Drosophila melanogaster: one gene and its partners. Changing the gene in region 1 together with any one later gene gives a genetic interaction. Each region holds a gene or a part of one and is shown on either strand. Other genes may lie near its edges.

The links. Genes that interact genetically often act in the same process or in processes that back each other up.
Region 2: of Liprin-alpha (region 1) and mr, changing one suppresses a phenotype caused by changing the other (phenotypic suppression), as found in Drosophila melanogaster (one study listed by BioGRID).
Region 3: of Liprin-alpha (region 1) and Liprin-gamma, changing one suppresses a phenotype caused by changing the other (phenotypic suppression), as found in Drosophila melanogaster (one study listed by BioGRID).

The regions. Positions count from the first base shown.
Region 1 is NT_033779.5:6,720,174-6,728,267, reverse strand, and holds the start of Liprin-alpha (Liprin-alpha), read right to left. Parts: upstream 4,366-8,094; 5' UTR 4,184-4,365; exon of another isoform or gene 4,091-4,183; 5' UTR 3,875-4,090; intron 3,442-3,874; 5' UTR 3,421-3,441; coding exon 3,172-3,420; intron 3,111-3,171; coding exon 3,009-3,110; intron 2,493-3,008; coding exon 2,139-2,492; intron 2,067-2,138; coding exon 1,965-2,066; intron 1,896-1,964; coding exon 1,728-1,895; intron 1,670-1,727; coding exon 1,550-1,669; intron 1,075-1,549; coding exon 934-1,074; intron 406-933; coding exon 1-405. Other genes in the region: homer, read left to right, coding at 5,458-5,471, 5,838-6,126, 6,182-6,618, 6,672-6,750, 6,814-7,080, 7,137-7,244.
Region 2 is NT_033778.4:23,970,132-23,976,590, reverse strand, and holds mr (morula), read right to left. Parts: upstream 4,161-6,459; 5' UTR 4,083-4,160; coding exon 4,020-4,082; intron 3,959-4,019; coding exon 3,442-3,958; intron 3,386-3,441; coding exon 3,147-3,385; intron 3,072-3,146; coding exon 2,891-3,071; intron 2,832-2,890; coding exon 2,130-2,831; intron 2,079-2,129; coding exon 1,815-2,078; intron 1,750-1,814; coding exon 1,508-1,749; intron 1,452-1,507; coding exon 1,251-1,451; 3' UTR 1,183-1,250; downstream 1-1,182. Other genes in the region: PPP1R15 (protein phosphatase 1 regulatory subunit 15), read left to right, coding at 1-443, 504-713; CG3065 (uncharacterized protein), read right to left, coding at 4,694-5,896.
Region 3 is NT_033778.4:22,351,027-22,356,751, reverse strand, and holds the start of Liprin-gamma (Liprin-gamma), read left to right. Parts: upstream 1-2,043; 5' UTR 2,044-2,364; intron 2,365-5,725.

The sequences.
Region 1 (8,094 bases):
GGGCGAAAGGCTCCGCGTGAGCGCCTCCGTTTGCTGGATGTTGTAGGCGATCTCCTGCTGCAGCAGCTGCCGCTTAAAGTTCTCGATCTCCAGGCGCGTCTTCGAAAGCTCCTTCATGATTTCGCTCTTCTCGTGGTGTAGCTCCTCGGCCACCTTACGCGCCTTTTCCAGTTCCTGGGTGAGGGCGTTCTTCTCGTCCAGCGCATGCATACGCTCCTTCAGGTGCACTTGCAGACGCTCGTTTGACTCCGAGAGCAGCTTATCCACCGTGGAGGAAAGCCGTAGGTTGTGCTCCTCGTTCATCTTCAGACGCTGGTTCAGTCTTACCACCTCGTTGGTCTTCTCGTCGAGGTTCGTCTCCAGTCCCCGGATGCGGTCTTCTGCAGAACCGTGTCTTTCTTGAGCCTGCAAATGGTTTCAGCCAGCGAGTTTAATGAACTTGTCCACACGGTTTAATCAGTGGCGGAGGAAAATGTTAGTTCTGGTTTTAGTAATGAAAGCTAATAGTGAGTATATTCTCTTGTATACCAACTACACTTAGGTACCCATTGCAATCCAAATACATTAAAACATAAGAAATAAATGCTGACAATGTATAATGTCGTGAATTGATATCTACCAAATATAACCACATTATATGAGATATTGGAAACCTTCGTAATTGGTATACTGAGAGAATTGTTAGGTCTGATTTTGATTTGGTTTCGGGTGCGTTAGAGTAGAAAGTTCTGGTGCAGTACAAAGATAGAAATAGTAGGTATAGTACATAGAAACTGAGTTGTTGTTGAAGTTGTTGGTGGTTTCTTGTGGCAGAAAATACGCAAAAGATAAGAACATTACACAAAACAGAGTAGAAGTTGTAAGGGATAATATTTGTTGTTGATACTTGTCATATGGAACCTGTCCGGCGCGCATATTAGTTCGAGTGCATACCTTGTTTCCTACCTTAGTCAATGCCTCCATGCGTGCCTTTAGCTGCTCTTCCATGTCGGGCTGCAGCTTGGCGTGCTGGGCGAGCTTCTGTTCGGAGAGCTCCAGCTTCTCCTCGATGGCCCCGATCTTCTCCTCGTGCAGCTGATTCGGATTCGGCATTGATCATATGGCATGGATTGGTTGTGGTTCGTATTTGGGGCGGGTGTTTGTTCGATTAGTTGTCGGGGGGAATAGTTGCGTATGTAAATGCAATTGATTAGTCACGCTTAAGGGGAGCTTAATGAAAGAGCAGGCTAGGGCACAATTAGAAACAGAGTGGATCGATTTTTTACAAAATATCACAGATGCTATACGAACTAGATTTCGCTGCTAATTTTATTTCATTACTCTAGCATACTAGCGATAATTGCTTGACTTGTAAGATCATGAAAAATTTATCTGCTATTCAATTGGAAATAACTTTACAGTAAGGTAATGAGTAATCAATGGATTTTTTTGAACAAATGGACTGTGCGCTTATCGAAATATAATAAAAAAAAATCGATCCTCATGAATAAAAGTAAAGATATGTATGCCTGCCTTAACCATAAGCTGTAATTTCCTTGGTTTTACCCACCTTGAGCTGCGCCTCTTTATGCCGTAGTTCCTGCTCGAGTTTCTCGTTGAGATCATGCAACGATGTAGACTCCCTCTGAGCATTCAGGTATCGCTTTTCCAATGTGGTAATGCGCTCCTCCTAAAAATGAACGTATAAGTAAAAAACTGAAACCATGCTGTGAGTATTATTCACTCACCTGATCCTCTTTCTGGGCAACATTCTCGCGCAGATCCCGCTGCAGCTTGGCACACTGGTCTTGGGCCTTGCAGTGTTCCTTTTGCACTCGCGACATGTTCTCCTCAAGCTCACTAATCTTGTTGTTCAAATCAGAAACGCGTCGCTGCCATTGTGAAAGTTCCGAGGTCTGACAAGGAAAGAGCGTTTTAAAAAGTGTTCACCATATGCAGACTGGAAACAGATCCGCAATCTTCACCTGCTTCTCAATAATGGTTTGCAGCTCGTGGGTTTTGGCTGCGTAGTCGTTCAGCTCATTTGCCTCGCCATTAACGCCACCAGATCCGCCCACGCCCGCCATCTAGGGTATTGGAAAATAGAAGAGATATATTAAACCGGACATGCTTGACTGCATTTCGAATGTGGAACGCACCTTCTCTTTGAGCCCGTTCTCGGCGCCCCCACCACCGGCGGTGGTTGCGGCACTCCCTGCTCCGCTGCCACTGCCCACGCCAGCTGGCACCACGCCCGCCTTGTACTGGGCCAGTTCCTCCTTGGCAGAGCTGAGTTCCTCTTCCATCATGTTGTTCTTCTCGATGGAAAGCCGCAACCGCTCGCGCACCTTCTCGTCCAGCGCCTTGTGGTGCTCGAACAGCGACTTTAGCGCCTTGAGCACTTCCACCTCGCTGGAGACGCCGCTCTGGGCGGCAGCCTGTCGCTTCACAACGGTCATACGCAGGGAACGCTCGTGGCGGGACACCAAGCACTCCAGATGTTCGAGGAGAAGCTGAAATAGTCAAGTTAGATCATTAAAAATATATTATTTCACGCAGTAACCGACGTTTAAATTGTCTCTTTAAAAGTAAAATTACCGTAGAAATTTAATTAAAACTGATTTTCTTGATATTCAATGAAGCGGAAAGGACTTATAAATACAGTTTACTTCACTTTTTATGGTTTAAGACGGATGTGAATACAAAGAACTAATTCTTAAAAGGCTGTAACAATGTTTGTATAGTCACTGATAAGTAAACAAATAGACAAGCCATGTTCGAAATAAAAATGAAGACGGACAGAGTAAACTTTTGTATTGTTCCCGGTATATGTGACTAATTCGCAAAAGCAAGTACCTACAACTGTTTCTTGTTTGAATAACAATGGGATATGTAATTTAGCAATGGCTATAATACCTAAATTAATAAATTAGTCTAGCAAATCTTGTCATGATCTACCTGATCTAACCATTACTCAATTGTCTCAGTAATTGAAATACCAAGGATCTAAATTTTCGAAAATCACTTACCCTGGTATTATTCCTCTCCGCCTTGAGCTCCCCAATCTCCTCGTCACGTTCCAAAAGGGTCTCCCGCGCTTGCGTCAGCTCCTTGGTCAGGGTGGCAAACTCCTAGAAAGATCAGGAAAAGATTTTAGGTAAACTGCGGTATCAGCATGCAGAGGCCACTTACTTGCGGCAGATTAGCGTTAATCTGTCGCTGCAGGCTGTCCCGCTCCTTCTCGACGTCACGCAGCTTGTTCTCCGTCTCGTTAAGCCGCTCCTGCGCCTCCCTCAGGCTGTCCATCAGCTTGTCCCGCTCGTCCAGCATGGAGACCATCAGCTGCTCAAAGTTGGCATCCTCCCCGCTAAACTGCGAGGAGCGCTGCGAGATGCTATCCTCGGATATCGTGGGCATTACGTCGCACATCATGTTCCACATTATTTAGTTGGGGCCGCCAGACTGTGCGAGACAGAGAGGGGAATAAAGGTTACAGGATTTTGGCTGTAGGTACATTTTGTGCGGAGATTGTACCACTATCGCTGTTACCGAAGCACAAAAACTAGACGCGTTTTTCTAAAGTTTCTTGAATTTGATCCTTGATCATAAATGAATTGGCGTGATTGAATTTTTGTCTGTGATTCCGCATATGGGAGATACTTAATGCTGTAGCTTCTTCTGCATAAAATCAAATTCTTTATGTTAATTGAATTTATAAAGTAAATTCAATTAATTCATACAAAATGTCCATTCTATGGAGTCCGGATATTTTACTACACACACACACGTTCGCTAGCCATTCCAATTGAAATACCCAGCATAGTGGGAGAAACATGTCTAATGAGACTTATCATAGGCGCCGCATTGATAACAAGTTTTCTACACCAACACATACGCACACTGTCGCAGGCGGGGGCACACGCACGGCATACACACTCACACGCGCACGCACACAGGCACAGTACTTTTTCTCTTTCGCATAACTGGCATATTTTGTGTGCCTAGGTGTGTCGCTGTCGCATTTTGCAATCACATATACCCGAAACAGGGTTAAACGAGCAGCAGGTGCGAGCTTACGCCGCTTTTAAATGCGTTCCAATGAGTTTTTCACCTGAAATTTCGGTTTAGTGGGACGGCGTTCGTGTGAAAAAAAAGAGGCTGCGAGAAAATCGCCTCGTACTCCTCGTTACGCCGGAACACGTACCCCGATCGATCGCACGGCGGCTGGGCAGCAGCAGCAACAACAACTCTGGCCGCTTTTTGCCCTTCGCATAGGTGTCCCGGCTGCTTTTAATTAAATAAACCGAATTCCAAATGGATTTTTTAACGATGAGAAACTGGTCAGTGTTACCAGATGGCAAAACGGCTAAAATCCGTAAACCAACCCTGGTTCTTCACTACAAAATGTACTACATTTCATGAATTTTTTCAGTGGTTCTATTTCGTCCAAAAAATATAGAAGTAAAATGTGTTGTTTTAAAGTTTTTGTGGCAGTCTATTTATGTTCAAAGCTAAATTATATGCAAATATTATTGCCGATCAGGAGTTGCCATTTGACCTATCGTCAAGTATTAGAAAAATGTGTACTAAAACTAATGCTGCCACACCGCACAAAGAAAACCATATCTAACAAATATTCAAACTACATGTAGGCGCACAACTAGACAGTCAAAAAAACTTATCACTTTTATCTGAAATTATTTTGTAACTTCCGTCATTTAAATGCAATGCTTCAACAGCTACACATGTTTTTGAAAAAATTACATTGTTATGGTGCCTTACAGACAAACATATTTAGTATTTATTTATCTTAATTAATTTGCAATTCGCTTTACAGCGATTAAATTATTCGATAAGAATCATTGCTCTTATACGAGCTCATGTGTTATCGATGCTTGGAAGCTAATAAATAAATCATCGATGGTGTTGAGCCAGTAAAAACATCGATAGCACCATACAAACATCGATTTTGGTTCCAGCTCTAGACATTTGTGTTTTATTTTTTTTAACCGTGAAATTCATAAGTAAAACCGACTAGCATTGGTATAAACTGCTGCGGAAGCACTCAGTCAGCGCCAAAGAACGAATACAATGGGGTAAGACCGATGGGCGCGGCCAAACCGGCCTAAACCTGCCGTTTTTACTGTGGGAAAAATCGACGCCGAACTAGCTGACATCTCCCCCCTATGATGTTGTTGTTGTTGCTGCCGTTCTGTGTGTAGCGGGCGGCGTAAATACATACATATATATGTACACAAACATACACCTACACACGCACACGCGTGGGCAGGCCAATTACATGTGTGTGGGTGTGCAGGTGTGTGTGACTGTGCAGGTGTGTGCGTGCGTGTTTTCCGCCCGAGAATCAAAAATCACAAGCAAGGCTGCGGAAAAGGCTTAGCACATAATGCAATTTAGTCGGCGGTCGACAGTCGCCAGCGATAACGGGAAGACACAAGTTATAGAGCTCAGCGAACGATGTCGGCGGATAGGTAATAGATAAGATATATATATGTATATGTGTACAAATAAAGGCACTGGAGGCTACCACGGATACGGAATTGATTTGATGGGGGCCCTGCGCCCCGCAACAAACTGTCATTGCATCAGGCCAGATCGCAAAAAACAAACATATATCGACCTACTTTATCAAATAAGGACCACGAGGATTATCCTGGGACTTAAGGACTACTAATTATAAATGCATTACACAGTGCCTGTTGACTAATAAACCACAGTAAAAGAATGCTTTGCCATAGTTTACTCACACGAGCACAGAAGCACAATTTATTGCCTGCTCTAAATGGAATTTTTAATTAATCACACGCTTGTCGCTTTAATCCCTTTATGACCCTTAGCGAACAACCGATTTTCACCTGCCAGGCGCACGTCTTCCACATCGATCCGAAGACGAAGCGCACCTGGATCACGGCCAGCATGAAGGCGGTCAACGTTAGCTTCTTCTACGACAGCTCGCGAAATCTGTACCGCATCATCAGTGTCGAGGGCACCAAGGCGGTGATAAACTCGACGATCACACCCAACATGACCTTCACCCAGACCTCCCAGAAGTTCGGCCAGTGGAGCGATGTGCGGGCAAACACGGTGTACGGCTTGGGATTTGCCTCAGAGGCGGAATTGACCAAGGTGAGTGGTTAGCATATGTCTCACATATTTATATACTAATCATATCGCTCAACAGTTCGTAGAGAAGTTCCAGGAGGTCAAGGAGGCCACCAAGAATGCCATGAAATCGGCCAACGGATCGAATGCCGTCACGCCCACCACCTCGGCGAACACGTCGCCCATTTCCGGGAGAGCTGTGGGCTCCATGCAGAACGACAACACAGCCATCGATCCGCACACTGTGGAGCCGCCCAACATGAGCAACACGAATACCCAGAACGCCAATCCGGACAGTCCTTCCCACAAGCTTCTAAATACCAGCGATGTCAAGGCGGACATCGGATCGGCCACGCCCTCGCCGCAGCCCACTTCAGGGGTAACTGGTGGCGGTGGAGTGACCATCTCGTCTGGCGGAAGCATTGTGGGCATGCACACGGGTCCTGGAGCCGGCGCCACCGCCGAGCAGCAGCTTAAGTACGAGAACGAGCGTCTGAAAATGGCACTGGCACAAAGGTAAGCAAAGCGTTGACCGTCATTGGCTCAAGGCAATAATGCCTTCTTTTCAGCTGCGCCAATGCCAAGAAATGGGAAATCGAGCTGGCTACCTTGAAGAACAACAATATACGGCTGACTAGTGCTCTTCAGGTAAGCAATAAGATAAGCTCACATTTATTGAAACTGATCGTTTTTGGCCTTTTTCTCCCAAAGGAATCAACTGCCAATGTAGACGAATGGAAGCGCCAGCTGCACACTTACAAGGAGGAGAATATTCGCCTCAAACGAGATATGGAGCAGCTGTGCGTGGGCGGCGGGGTTGTGGCTGCAGCCGGAGGAGGCGCCACAGAGGACGAACTGCGTCGTGAGGTGGCCACGCTCAAGGCGCGGACAGAACAACTACAGAAGGAACTTATGCAACAGGAACTTGAGCTTAAGTCGGCCAATATTAGCCTACGTGAAAAGTCCAATGACCAAACGGTGGGTAAAGCATAATAATCATGTTGAGTAATTTGCTAATGAAACTTTGTTTTTAGCTTGCAAAGTTGAGTGAGGTGAATGGTGTGTTTGCCAAGCATCTTTCGGAGTTGTATGGGGTGCAGAAGGATATGGAGAGTCTTATACAAATTGCCAAGTGCACTTGAGACACAGAGTTGGCGTTTATGCGAAAGGTTTGCGGCACATTGCCTTTTGAGTTTCGTCTTGTTGATTGGCGTTCTTTACAGGTTTCAGTGCAGGAACAGACTACAATGATTAATACTACAACGACATCATCGACAACAACAGGAAGCACGACAAGTAAACGTTATTTAAGCAACTTTCCAACCGCAGAGGCCGAGAGCACGCTCTCCAACGTCACCTCGATACACACTCAGCTGCAGTCGTCGCTTTACGAGACTCAGAACATGCCGCAGCTGAAGGCCTTGGACAAGCATTCGGCTTTGCTCCAAGAGCTTCATCAGCGGCAGGCGGCACCCAGGCGCAACTCAGCCTCTGCGGAAGCTGCTGCAGCCGGCTCTGGTGGAGCCAAAACAGCCACCATACTCGTTTCCAAATCAAAAACCAAAACTGGGCTGCCCCTGTTGCTGAAGAATTCCATTAACAATTAGAGAAATCCCAAAAAGAAAAACAAATATCGCAGGTAGAGAGAATTTATTCAGTGGCATTTTTGTAATCTTTATATTGGTAGTTTGTATACAAGGACAACGTTAAGAGTCAGCCATGGTACTTCCCCAATCCCCACGCACCCCCTCTTTTTGTTAACATTATTGGATATTTGTGTTTCCTTATCTCAAATTGAATGTATACCTATGCCCAGTATTTCGTCAAAATTCTTCGAGTCCTTGTGACACTGATGTAGGTCCAGATTGATTGATTCTCGTGCGCAGTAAAGTGCAATATACATTTATCTCTAGTATGTAAATGTAAACGATGATATTATGTGCTCTATACACTTTCAGCTGATTGTTAATTAATTTTTAATAAGAGCTTGCG
Region 2 (6,459 bases), on another chromosome or scaffold:
AGACCGCCCTGCACAAGTGCGTCAACGCCCAGAGTCCGCCGGGCGCCAAGATGGCGGGAATCGAGTTGGACGCCTTGCGGCGTTGCGTACCGTCCTCGTGCTACTTCTTTATTGACCTGCATCCGCACCACGGCTTTAAGGATACCGCGGAGGATTGCCCTACTAGTCAAGCCTCCAGTGACCGGAATAACAACGCTGGCTGTTCGCAAGGATCGGCTGCCAAGAGCTCCTGGCAGCGGCAGCGTAGTATTTCCGAGTGCAGTGAGGACAGCTTCATTTGCTTTGAGGACGACGCAGAGCAGGCGGATGAGGATGTCGAGGAAGACGAGGATGATGATGACGACGACAGCAGCGTGCAGTTTACAGCATGCGGTGAGGATGAAAATACCGAGGAGCTAAAGGCCTGCCAGTGCAGCGACGACAGCTCGACTCCTGTCAAGAAGGTGAAGAATATTTTTGCGCGGCATAAGTGGGCATATCTAATTTCCTATTTATGCGCACAGGTTCGTTTCAACATGAAACCCGAAGTTCACGTAATGCTCGCCTGGGACTACGCTTATCGGGCTGCCAGAAAGAGCGAATGGCAGGTAATGGCGCGAGATCGGGATCGCTTTCAGCAGCGGATTCGGCGGATTTCACCCATTCTCAATGCCGTCCTGACTCCAGTTCACCGAGATCGTGTCTACCAAGCTCGATTCTTGCACGAGGACTAGCTGGTCCGCATACCTGAAGTAACTTTTGATGTACAGATTACAGTTTAGAACGATTACAGCATTAAATTCCAAGTTGTTTGCGTGTATAAAGTGATCGATTTAGCCACTGCGTTCGTGATTGATTTTATGAAGCCAAAAACTGTTTAACCTGTAAAGTATATCAAAACCACGTACACTTTTCTTCGCCTTTAGTTTTAGAGCCCTAAGAAGTTTGAATTTGTTGATAACGGGATTAGCATATACCTTAATATAACTTGAAATAAATTAAGCAATAGACGTATTTTACTGTGTGTTCTTCTTTTCACATAAGATTGCTTGCATTGTGTTCCAAATTCCCAAGCCAAACAAGTTTGGGTAAAGACTTTGTGTGTACGTGGGTGAGAGATAAGCTCTGAATAGAAACAGATAAGACGGCAGTTTGAAAAAATAGGTACGTTTAACATGGAGCAGTAAATTTCATAAATGTTATCGCGTTAATTCATTATTTATTTCATGATTCCTTCAGTCGTTTGCAACTTGGTTTTGGATCTCCGAAACTTATTTGGCCAATTGGTAAACTCCACCCGAGAATATTAGCTTGTGCTCCCTGACTTTTCGCTGGAGAAAGTGTTTCAGCTCATCCTGAGTAAACTCCACTCCGCCGCTGTGGGAGGCGAACAGCTTCAGCATCTGGTGGATTCGGTCAATTGGCATGGAGTCAAGATTCGTGAGCATTCCAACAATATAGGACCAAAAAACCTGCGGCATAATTGTATAAGAAAAAGCCGGAATTAGGAACAGTTGAAGGCACTTACTTGGAGTTCTTCTTCCCTTTGATCGCTGGCAGAAGCCATTGCGGATTCCAAATCCTCTTCGTCAGCTTCTGCCAGACTCATGTCCTCGTACTGAGACTTCTCCGATTCCTTTTCCAGCAGCGTGAATATTCCGGGTGTCGTTTCCGAGATCAATCCGTGGTTTTGCCAAAAACTCAGACGACGCCGCAGTGCAGACGCTGGAACTTTCGTAATGGAACTAAGATCCTCGATAGTCCATTCATCTGAAAAAAAAATATGACCATGCGGTTGTAAAACTGTAAAACTTGACTGCCCTGTAAACACGTACTCTTAGTTTGAAAGTGGTATATAATAACCGCCAAAATGGGGCTCACAACCATTTCCATGGTCCGGTCACCGATCTCGATTTCAATATTTACACGGCCAGTCACTGTACGCCAGTTGAGCGTACGGTTGCCCTTGTATGCCTCGTAGGCCTTGGTGTACTTCTTGAACTCATTCTCAATCTCCTCAGGAAGTTGGAGGCTTTCTTTATTGAAGGACGGCCAAAACTGAGCAGAAACAATCAGCGAGGAGATGTCGAACAACTGATCTAAAATGAGATGGTTTCGTTAAAGCATTTTGAAAATTAAAAGTAACTCACTTTCAGTTCGGTCGCCATCGCTGTGGATGTGCGCGTTAATTCGCTTGGAGTCGGTTACGTCTTTCAACATCACCTCGCAGCTGTGCAGCAGCGATTCGCCAAAGCGGATTTTCAGCAGTTCCAGATTTCGAATTTCTTTTTCGGAATTAAAATCTAACTGGGCCAGCAGTCTGTCCGCCATTAGATTGCGATACTCTGTCATAAACAACTCCTTACTGCCGTATATGTCTACAACCATCGATATAATGTCGGCCGATCTCATCTTCCGCGAGCTGTTGTACTGCATAATGCTGGCATCTATACCAAACGGATCGGGTTGCCAATTTTCCCAGTTGCTGAACTCATCGGTACCCGAGTCCTTGCATTCCTTAATTGTTTCTCCCTTGGCGAGTTCCTCGGATAAGTCCGTGGGCCCCTCTTCAGTCAACCCAGTGACTACGCGTCGCACTGTGTCGTTTCGTTTCCGCAGGTAATCTTTGATTGGAGCAGTTACCATCTCTAAGATGACTCCGGTACTATCCAGATGGCGAATAGCTTTGATGGCTGCCACGTAACCCGTTAATATGTCCATGGTGTTGACTCCAGGATGCAGAATCCTTGCCTCTAGCGAGTTCCTAAGGGATTCAGTGAGGTAGACTCGCATATCTATTTTCTCCATGCAAATCTTTAAGTCATCTATAGCCGGAATGGAATCGGGATAGTCTGTTTACAAATAAATACATGTAGTTGGGGGACTCTTGGCTGAATCTACGGGCACATACCAATTATAATGCTGAAGAACTGACCAATAACGCTTTGGGCAAACGTTTCGTACATAAAGTAAGTCAGTTTGACTTTGAAGGATTTTACAGACTCGGGAACTTCGATATCGCTTATGCTATCCTTAGACTTCCATTCCGTGAATATGTTTGTGAGCCAGGACATTATGACATCCGATAGCCACTGCAAAGGTAGGTAATAAATGAGTTACTTAAGTAGTTTATTTATGACAACAGAAGGTATTCCCATTCAACTTACAGTTTCCAGTTGCTTAAGATGACTTCTGTCGAAGATTCCCATGCATGTATCGCTGATGTGCTCCTTGATTTTAAGCTTGATGAGAGCGGTTAAAGCACTCCCAGTTAGACGGTCAATGAGGTTCATCTCGAAGAGCTTCATGTTTGTCTTGTTAACCATATCCGTCAGCCTTTGGCAGCAGCATTGCTCTGCTTCGAAGTTGCAGCCAACGCAGAGGAGCTCATCGAAAACATCAGAGTCTGAAGGGGAAAGCAAGTGAGCATGGGAACCACAGGAGTATGTATCGGATACATACCAACTGTGGTCAATGCGAGATTTGAGGCCTTGGTGAAGAGCTTAAAGTGCACCCAGTAGAAGGCCCCAACGACCACACTGAAATTGGGTGGCAGTTGAGCCAGCAAGCAGTCCCTTAAGCAGTTCTTAATGCCTTCCTCCTGCATGAGCTTCACCGTCTTTGCGGTGGGCTTTGTCTCAGCTCCAACTAGCTGGATCAGCCTGGGCTTCACCTGCATCAGGCTCTGAAAGCTGTCATGCAGCTCATTGATGGCGTCGATGAACTGGGTGAACAGTCCGTTCTTATCGGGCAGTGCTTCTATGGCCAGAGCTTGGTCGTTAATCCAGCCCTGCAATTTAGACGAGACCAAGCCGTCGTGGATGTGCTTCCAGAACTTGGGCACCAGGACATTCCGAATAGTCGACTGGATTTCCAGGTCCACAACCGCCGCGAAGGTGTCTATGCTGCCCAACACCATCAGGTGCTGGCGAACATTTTGGAATACATTCTCCTCAACCGGATCATTGGATACAGCGTTCTGTAAGAGTTTCTGAGTGCTAGCGCCAATCCCTATTACTGAACCGAAGGAATAAACCTACCGCTCCACCCAAAACCGGAAAGATTCTCAGTACATCCGCCCACAAAGCGTCAAAGTCGCACATCGCTTGTGTGTAATTATTTTAAACAGTGCAAAACATTGCTTGAAACTCTGAATCAAACGCCAATGGTGATGATAATGCTGTTATCGATAAGTCGATTCTATCAACCGAACCGATAGTCGATGAATCTTTGATTTATCAGAAATTATACATATATCTATTATTCATTCTTATAGGCCATTATTAATCATATTCCAAATTTCAAACTGGATCGAGTCCTGATCCTGATGAACTATCAGTTCCCCATCAATTAGCCCATAAATATAAATAACAGTTTTACTAAAATAAATTATATTAATAGATACGGGGAGCTTAGTAGCCAGAAAATAAGAAACAGCAAGAGTTTCAGAAATACAGATGTATGTCTTCACGTTCCGGCAAACACAAACAGTTAGAGCTAAAATTAAATTGCATACGACTTATTTACATACATACATACAAATTGAGATTTGAGAGCCGGCGCTGATCTTGCATAGGAATATAGTTAGATTGCGAATTTATTTAATTTTATTGTACTGTGTGCGTCACCCGACACACGCCCGTGTGGTAGCCAATATCGATTGGATGCGGATGCCAATGGCTAGCGACTTAAGGAGTAAGGAGTAACTATGAAACTATCGTATCTTCAAATGCGTCTGCTGATGCTTTTTCAAGTGGTCGCTCCGCACAAACCGGCGACAGCACTGCTGACAGGCGTAGGGCTTCTCCCCGGTGTGCGTTCGTATGTGTCGGTTGAGGTCGTCCTGCCGCTTGAACCGCTTCTCACACTGCCGGCAGTAGAAAGGCCGATCCTGAACGAACTGGGGCATCCCATACGTGCCGGGTCCGTCCGCCGGCGGTAGCTGAGAGAGGGTATTTACAATTTCTTCGGTCGGTTCGTATTTTACCTCGGGCTTCGCCTGGTTAAGGAAATCGGGCAACTGGCTCTGGTTGTGGCCATGGTTATCCATCTGGTGTTCAGGAGATACGATCTGGTACTTGTCGCTGTGCTCCGGCCGTTCCAGCTTAATCTTTATCGGCTTGTGGTGGATGTCGATAATGCTCACGGGCTGCTGGTGCTGGTTATGCTGCTGCTGCTGGTGGTGGTGCTTCATGCTCGGCTCCCCGCAACCAACCATGGCGGCCATGAAGTGGAAGCCCGAGTCCGACTCCGAATGAATCTGCTTCTTCGGGGGCTTGAGCCGGACTCCACCACTGCTGCTCGGTACTGTTCGCTTCGGGGTGCTGCCCTTTAGCTGGCGGTCGTGGGTAGCTAGGTGCTTGGTGAGGTGGTCGCTGCGGGAAAACTTCTTGGTGCACTGGATGCACTCGAAGGGCTTCTCGCCGGTGTGCGTCCGGAGGTGCCGGTTGAGCTCATCGGAGCGCGTGAATCCCTTGCCGCACTTGGGCTCGCTGCAGACGAAGGGCTTGATGCCCGTGTGCCAGGTGAGGTGGGACCGCAGGTGGGAGCTCTTGCCGTAGCTCTTTGTACAGTTGTCATACGGGCAGACGAACTTGCGCTTGGGATCGGAGGCGAGCGTCGTGGCCATTAGCTTCACACTGGGCATTATGCGGATCTTAGAGTTGCCGTTCCCGCCGTAGTGCGAGTCGTCCTCAGGCTCAGTCTCAACTCCGTGATGGGGCACATTCTCCACATTCGCCTCGTCGTGCTTGACGTCCTCGAAAATCGTCGAGGCCCGCAGTATCATATCGGACGCCTGCTCGTGTATGTTTGCGCCGCTCATCGTGGGAAACGCTGGTGGTGGTTTCATGGGTTCTATGGGCGTTGATGTCGTCAGCATTTGGGGTGTGGGCGTGTTTGGTATTACTTGTGACATTGTGCTTACGTTTGGGGCTCGCTAGCGCCCTATCCGGTATGTCTGGAATCGAGAGTGGAGGTACTTTACTGCCAGCTGCGCGCCTACCGCTCCCTAATTACCAAAATTGCGTTTATCCAAAACTACACTCCTGTACAGGAAACTGTGTTCAGTGGGCGTCGGCCTAGGATTTATCAGTTCTGTGGTCCCTTGTCACCATAGCCAGCTCGGAAAACGGTCTATAGTCGGTCCTGGCGTCCCGCACACATTTTCCAATTGTTTTCGGCTAGCGCGCTTGCATATTCCAGCGGATTTGCTTATTTTACTTTATTTTATTTATATACTGAAGTATATCCATTTAATTGCGATGAGAATTATCGACTAGTCGATAGGACCAAGAGATGCGACTGAATGCGTGTACGGAGATATCGGATTTCAATGTTGTATTTATTGATTGCTATTAGTTTAGCACAGTTAAATATCTAAAACTAAATGTGTAGTTAACATTAAGAAATCAATATAAAGCGCAATGGAATTACATTTTGTTTGATAGATCATAAAACTATTCATCGTTTCTTTTTTTT
Region 3 (5,725 bases), on another chromosome or scaffold:
AGATTCTTCTCTCACTGCATCTGGCTCAATTCTTAAGGTTGAGGTCGTCGTAGTTGATTTTCCGCAGCTCTGCAGGCGGCAGGTTGGAAAAGTGGGCAAGGGGAAATGGAAAAGCGGGTAAATGGAGGGTTGCTGGGGGCGGCGACTGTCAGTGGGACACTTGGCTGTCAATGGCAGTTGAGTTACGACAAAAGGGAAGAATTGCATGGCAGAGACGTTTCCTTCGGCTTCCATGGCTTGTGGAATTTTTCACGCGTCACCTGTGGCAGATAGTGCTGCTCCCGCCGCCTCTTCTCGGCGGGAAGTCTTCTGTCTTGACTTTGTCGAGGGAGTCGGAGTTTTGCCATATATCCTAGGCCTTTTCCGATGGAGGAGCCGAGTTGAATGAACTAGCACCGTAATCGATGCGCCTCCGTGTGTGCGTTTGTTCTGCCGCCATTGTTCGGGATATCAGATACACATATCCTGGCACCGATGGCGGCGTCTGCCAGGAGAGCCACAAAAAAGGCAGCAGGATGGGCTCAGCAGCCGCTTGACATTCATTTGATAACATTTTATTAGCATCAGATGATGGCGGTTATCTCATGGCTGCACTTCACATTTCCGCAGGCAGACAGATGGCAACCACAATGATTGTCAGTCAAAATAAAGACAAACAGTGGCCGTGTCCATGAGTTTGCGGATGCGAAGGGTTCGAAGGGTGGGAGGGGTATGGCAGGAGGATGTATATAGGATATATCGGACCGATTCAGTCAGGTGCAAAGCCCTCTACGTGGCTGCGGCTAGTCACGTCTGCCACTTGTGCTTATGAATGACACTACACTCTCTGGCACGGAGCGGTAAAGGGATTTATCCGGTTCAAGTCCTGTGAGCTCAGGATAATGCACTGCAATGGCTCTCATTCGGATTACTCCACCCTTACGCGTTGATATGGCAATCGATTCCGCTTTGAATTGCATAGTTGCGATGCGGGAAAATAGGTTTGTTTATCAAGCCAATCGAAAGGTAGTAATTGAAAGGATTGCAGAAGAGGCAAAAAAATAACACTTTAATATGAAACTCAGTTATGAATCAATGTTTCCAGTTAAATGTAACTGCAAAGCTGAATCAGAAAGCCACTTTTATCACAGCTGTCAGAATTGTTAAGCCCTTTCAAACTCAATTAAACCATTTAGACTTTAAATGAAAATGCCATTTTCGTTACAATCACATTGAGAGAACAATAATATCAATTTTCATAGATGAGGCGATGCGATTTCTTTGGCTGAAATATTTTGCACGTGTTCATTAAATCTTTTCACAATAATTTGAGCATTTGCTGTCGGGATCATATTATACATGTTCAGCTTTGAGTGCAATACTCACATACTTTCGATTCCTTTGTCAATTTTTGCCGCAAATGATAGTGTACAGTCAGATTGTTTTACAATTAGTAGGAAAGCATGCAGACTGCAGTTGTCGTTGGCAACCTCAAAGTGCGCAACATCCCCACATTTACCCACTTCATCCTCATTTATTGTTTTGAGGCTTTTCATATTTTGAAATAGTAACTCCCCGCCTGTCGCAAACAGTTGCAACCACTGACATTTTTGGTCTTGAGATATTTCATTAGAGTAAAATCGGGCTGTGTGGCCCAACCACACAGTCTGTAAATTGTTTCGTCCAAGTTAAATTGCGGGGAAAATGTATTGTGGCGTCCAAACAAAGTACAATTTATATTGCTGATTAATTGAAAACGGAGGTGGTGTCGTTGCGATTCAGAGCCAGAGCTTGACCTTCGTTTTTGGGAGCGGAGGAGCAACAAGGATTCGAAAGGATTCTTGCGGGACGTTCGGATGGAAAACGTAAACAAACACTTGTCCAAGGCAAGGCTAGGTCGGGTTTTCGAGAGATCCCTGGTGGCTATTTCTCCAGCGATTGCGAGCTTTCGCCAATGCGCATGGGCGCTCTTGTATCCTTTTTCCCATCTCGCTGTGCCTAAGCTTTCGTGACGTCACATGGACGCCGCCAAAACGGCACTCGGGCCAAATGCCAAGGACTCGAGCTCAGTGCCATTCGAGTGATTCGCCCAGTGAGACGTTCCAAGCGCCAGAATTGAATTATTCCCCACATATCCTTCGGTCTCGCTCTCGTTCTCTCTTTCTGTCCTGCTCTCTTCGCGGAGAGTGTGTGCTGGTGTGCGTGTGTGTTTCAATCAAAATCAACAAGAGCATAGCCGAAAAAACTTTCAACCAAAGCGTGTCTAACAAATTAGAAAGCCAGAAAAACCAAATAAAAAAAAAACGAAAATAAAAGAACCAACATTGACTTCAACTGTTGGCCACGTGGTATGTGGCCTTCTTGTTTTTTCAGTCAGAATCCGAGGTAAATTTTTCGAAAACAAACAGACAGACACAGCATCGCCGAAAACAAGAAAAACACTGCGGAGAACAATCGAATTTTTGGGGGGGAAAAACCACCGCCAGTAAAATTCGGTCAATATTTGTGCGAGTGTGCGTGGAGTAGGGAAATTTTTTGGAACTTGTGTGTCACTCTGTTTGTTGTTGTTTCTGTGCGCAAATATAAAGGAAAACCAGCGAACAGCCAAATAGGGAAAAATCTGTGTCAGTCGCGAATTACGCACTATCTCATTTGGGAATTTCGGGCCGCTTGGGTTTTGTGAATGAATAATCAAAGTGTTTGCACGCATTTTTAAACCGATTTGCGCCTGTGCAAATCTTTATTAATTTCCGAGTGGTGTTCTTACTAATGACAACATCAGTAATTGCTGCCAGACACGAAAATCATATTTACCTGCACAGAGAGAAAATGCAGAAACCATTTCGTAAACGAAATAGGCTTACTTCTGACATATATCAAAGGAGCTGTGACTGCACTTTTAGTAATAACTTTAACTTGGTAGTGGTATGTTTGGTGGTTTTGAGTTTTTCAAGAAATCAAAGCCATATGGGTCAAAAGTATGCCACCTGGCTGAATAAATCAAAAGGAACCGGCGGAGAACCGCGGGCGGTAAATGTTGCATATTACGTGAGTTTTTACCACGACCATACGTTACGCATACGCCATGTGGGCCCCCTCCGAAGGCAGCAAAGGCTACCAACAGTGCGTCGCGTAATAAATCGCACGACAATAACTCACGGCACCCAGGAAGGGGGTTGAAATGATGATGGGGATTTGGGACAATAGAAGGGGTAAGCAACCAGAATCGGGTCGGGCTGTGACCAGGAAAGTCGCAAACTGAAAGCTATTAAGCCGAAAGACTTAAAGACTTTTGCTACCCACCTCCGGGGACGGTCTACTCCAGCCCCCTCCCCCGCCACAATTTCCCCTCTCGCTTCAAGCCAAACCACGCACACACACACACACACACACACACACATCCGTTTCCTGTGACAAGGAGCAACAACGAAAACTCACTTAGCCATGCTGCCTCAGCCTCTGTGTTCGCCAGACTCACTTGACATGCTCTTAATACCAAATAAAAAACAAGAGCTCAAGGACGCTGAGAAAACACTCCGTTCCACTTTTGCACTGCGAGTAAGGCCAAAACCCCCAACGCCCCGGCCACGCCGTCATGTGTAAATTTTTAATGTTACCAAGACCCCCAAATGTAGGTTATCAAATTGTGTTCAAGTTGTCTTCGCCAAAAGCGCCGTAGAAAAAGTTTTAGCGCTCGCCGTTTCCCCGGTTGGAAAACATTTTAAATGATTTTGTTGTCGGCGGTTGGTTGTTTTTCGTTGTGTTTCCCTTTAGACGCCCCCTGCCAATTGGGTCAAGCATTTACATTTCACGCCTAGCGAAAAACTCAGTCAGAACTATGCTACTTCGTCACGCCCCCATCCTGCACGCCCCACTCACCACGCCCCACCACCATTCGCCGTGTTGTGCAAGCTCTCCAACGTTCGGTAGTGGTGCATCTATTTAGTCAAATTAAAAACACAAATTCAACTCTGCTCTGCCGGCTGCCACTAATTAATTGCAAACTAAATGAGTTTCTCGGCATAAAACTTTATCCACAGCAAAGCTGATTGCTGTCAGTTTTGCGGCCGAAGGAGGAGCAGCATTCTACTGGCGATGTAGATTGCAGCGAAATCGCTTGGCAAAGAACAGGGGCGGAGATTGGTTTATGTGGCTCCCCTTCTCCCCGAGAAGGAGCCCTGGCTCAAATTGTAATTTGTGCAGCTCCCACACATTCCATTCTCGCTCCATTGAAGTTTTCTGGCTGAGAAAGGGGGGCGAAACCATCGAGTCATACAGGAAATTAGGGCTAAAAGCAAGTGTAAAACGGTCAGCGCAGTGAAAACTTTCTAGCCCGAAAAGGGAAAAATATTGGAAAAAATTCTAACTTTCGAGTCGAAAGTTCACAAATATGTGAATGGAAATACTCAGCATTCTATTTAAACTGCATACGTTTAGACACCTATTTAAGTAACTTTATACGTTCATTTTTAATTCAACTAAAATTGCGTTTGAAGGGTTTTTAAAGGAGGTCAATGCAATTTCGCTCTCTGACATTCCCCTCAAGTGAATGGCTGGGTTTAGTCATCATGTTATGAGTCACACAGCAGGATATGTACGGTCAATGAAGTTAGCCTTTCGGAAATAAAGTGTTCGCTTGCAGGTAATCGAATTGAATGCTGGCTAGCAGACGGCATCCAGGCTCAGCCAGCTGAGCCAGCTCAGCGAGTCGAGTTGAGATGGGCAGGACCTTAATGATGGATGTCAGGACGGACAGGATGACCAGTCACTCACTCATTTGGCATTGAGGGCACTGAGCCATTAAATTCCCACTTGGCGTGTGCGGCGGATTGGATTTCGATGGCTGCTCGCGGCGTGAATCTGTTAATTCAACTTATTAATTTTCATTGAATTTCTCCGTTCGCCACTGTCACAGTCACTGTCACTGCCAATGTCAATTGTCACCGAGTTGTGGCGCCCTAGGGCGGGCATTGACATTATGGCACTTTGGGGTGTGCTCGTTGGTCTGTGGTTTGTGCAATCAAGTCGGTTCGAATGGTTTTGCTCAGCACAAAATACTGCATTAATTTGCATGCATTCTGTAGGCCGACATTCAATCGATATGCCAAAACTTATTGGCCATTTGTTCGGCCAATTCATTTAAATCTTTTCCATCTCAAGCCTTTGATTTATTTAGAGCCTGAGCTCCGGCTCATGGAATGATAAATTAATAAATGTGTGCATTGAATCAAAGGCAACGGCAATAAATTTCAAATATTTTACCTCCCATTTTAAGAACGAAAGCCACAGACGCACACACATGGATACTTGGAATCGCCCTTTCAAATGAGCCTGCCTCCGAGTGCTGTCACACTGGAAGAAGTGAAGAATTTAATAGCCAAGCTGCCACTTAAGAAAGCTCCTGGAGAAGATCTTCTTGATAATAGAACCATTAGACTTCTCCCAGATCAAGCATTGCAGTTCCTTGTCTTAATATTCAACAGCGTTCTTGATGTTGGCTACTTTCCGAAAGCTTGGAAATCGGCGAGCATAATTATGATCCATAAGACTGGAAAAACACCGACAGACGTTGACTCGTACAGGCCCATCAGCTTACTCCCATCTCTGGGTAAAATTATGGAGAGGCTGATCCTAAACAGGCTGCTCACATGCAAGGATGTTACCAAAGCGATTCCCAAATTTCAGTTTGGCTTCCGGTTGCAGCACGGTACTCCTGAGCAACTACATAGAGTAGTGAACTTTGCTC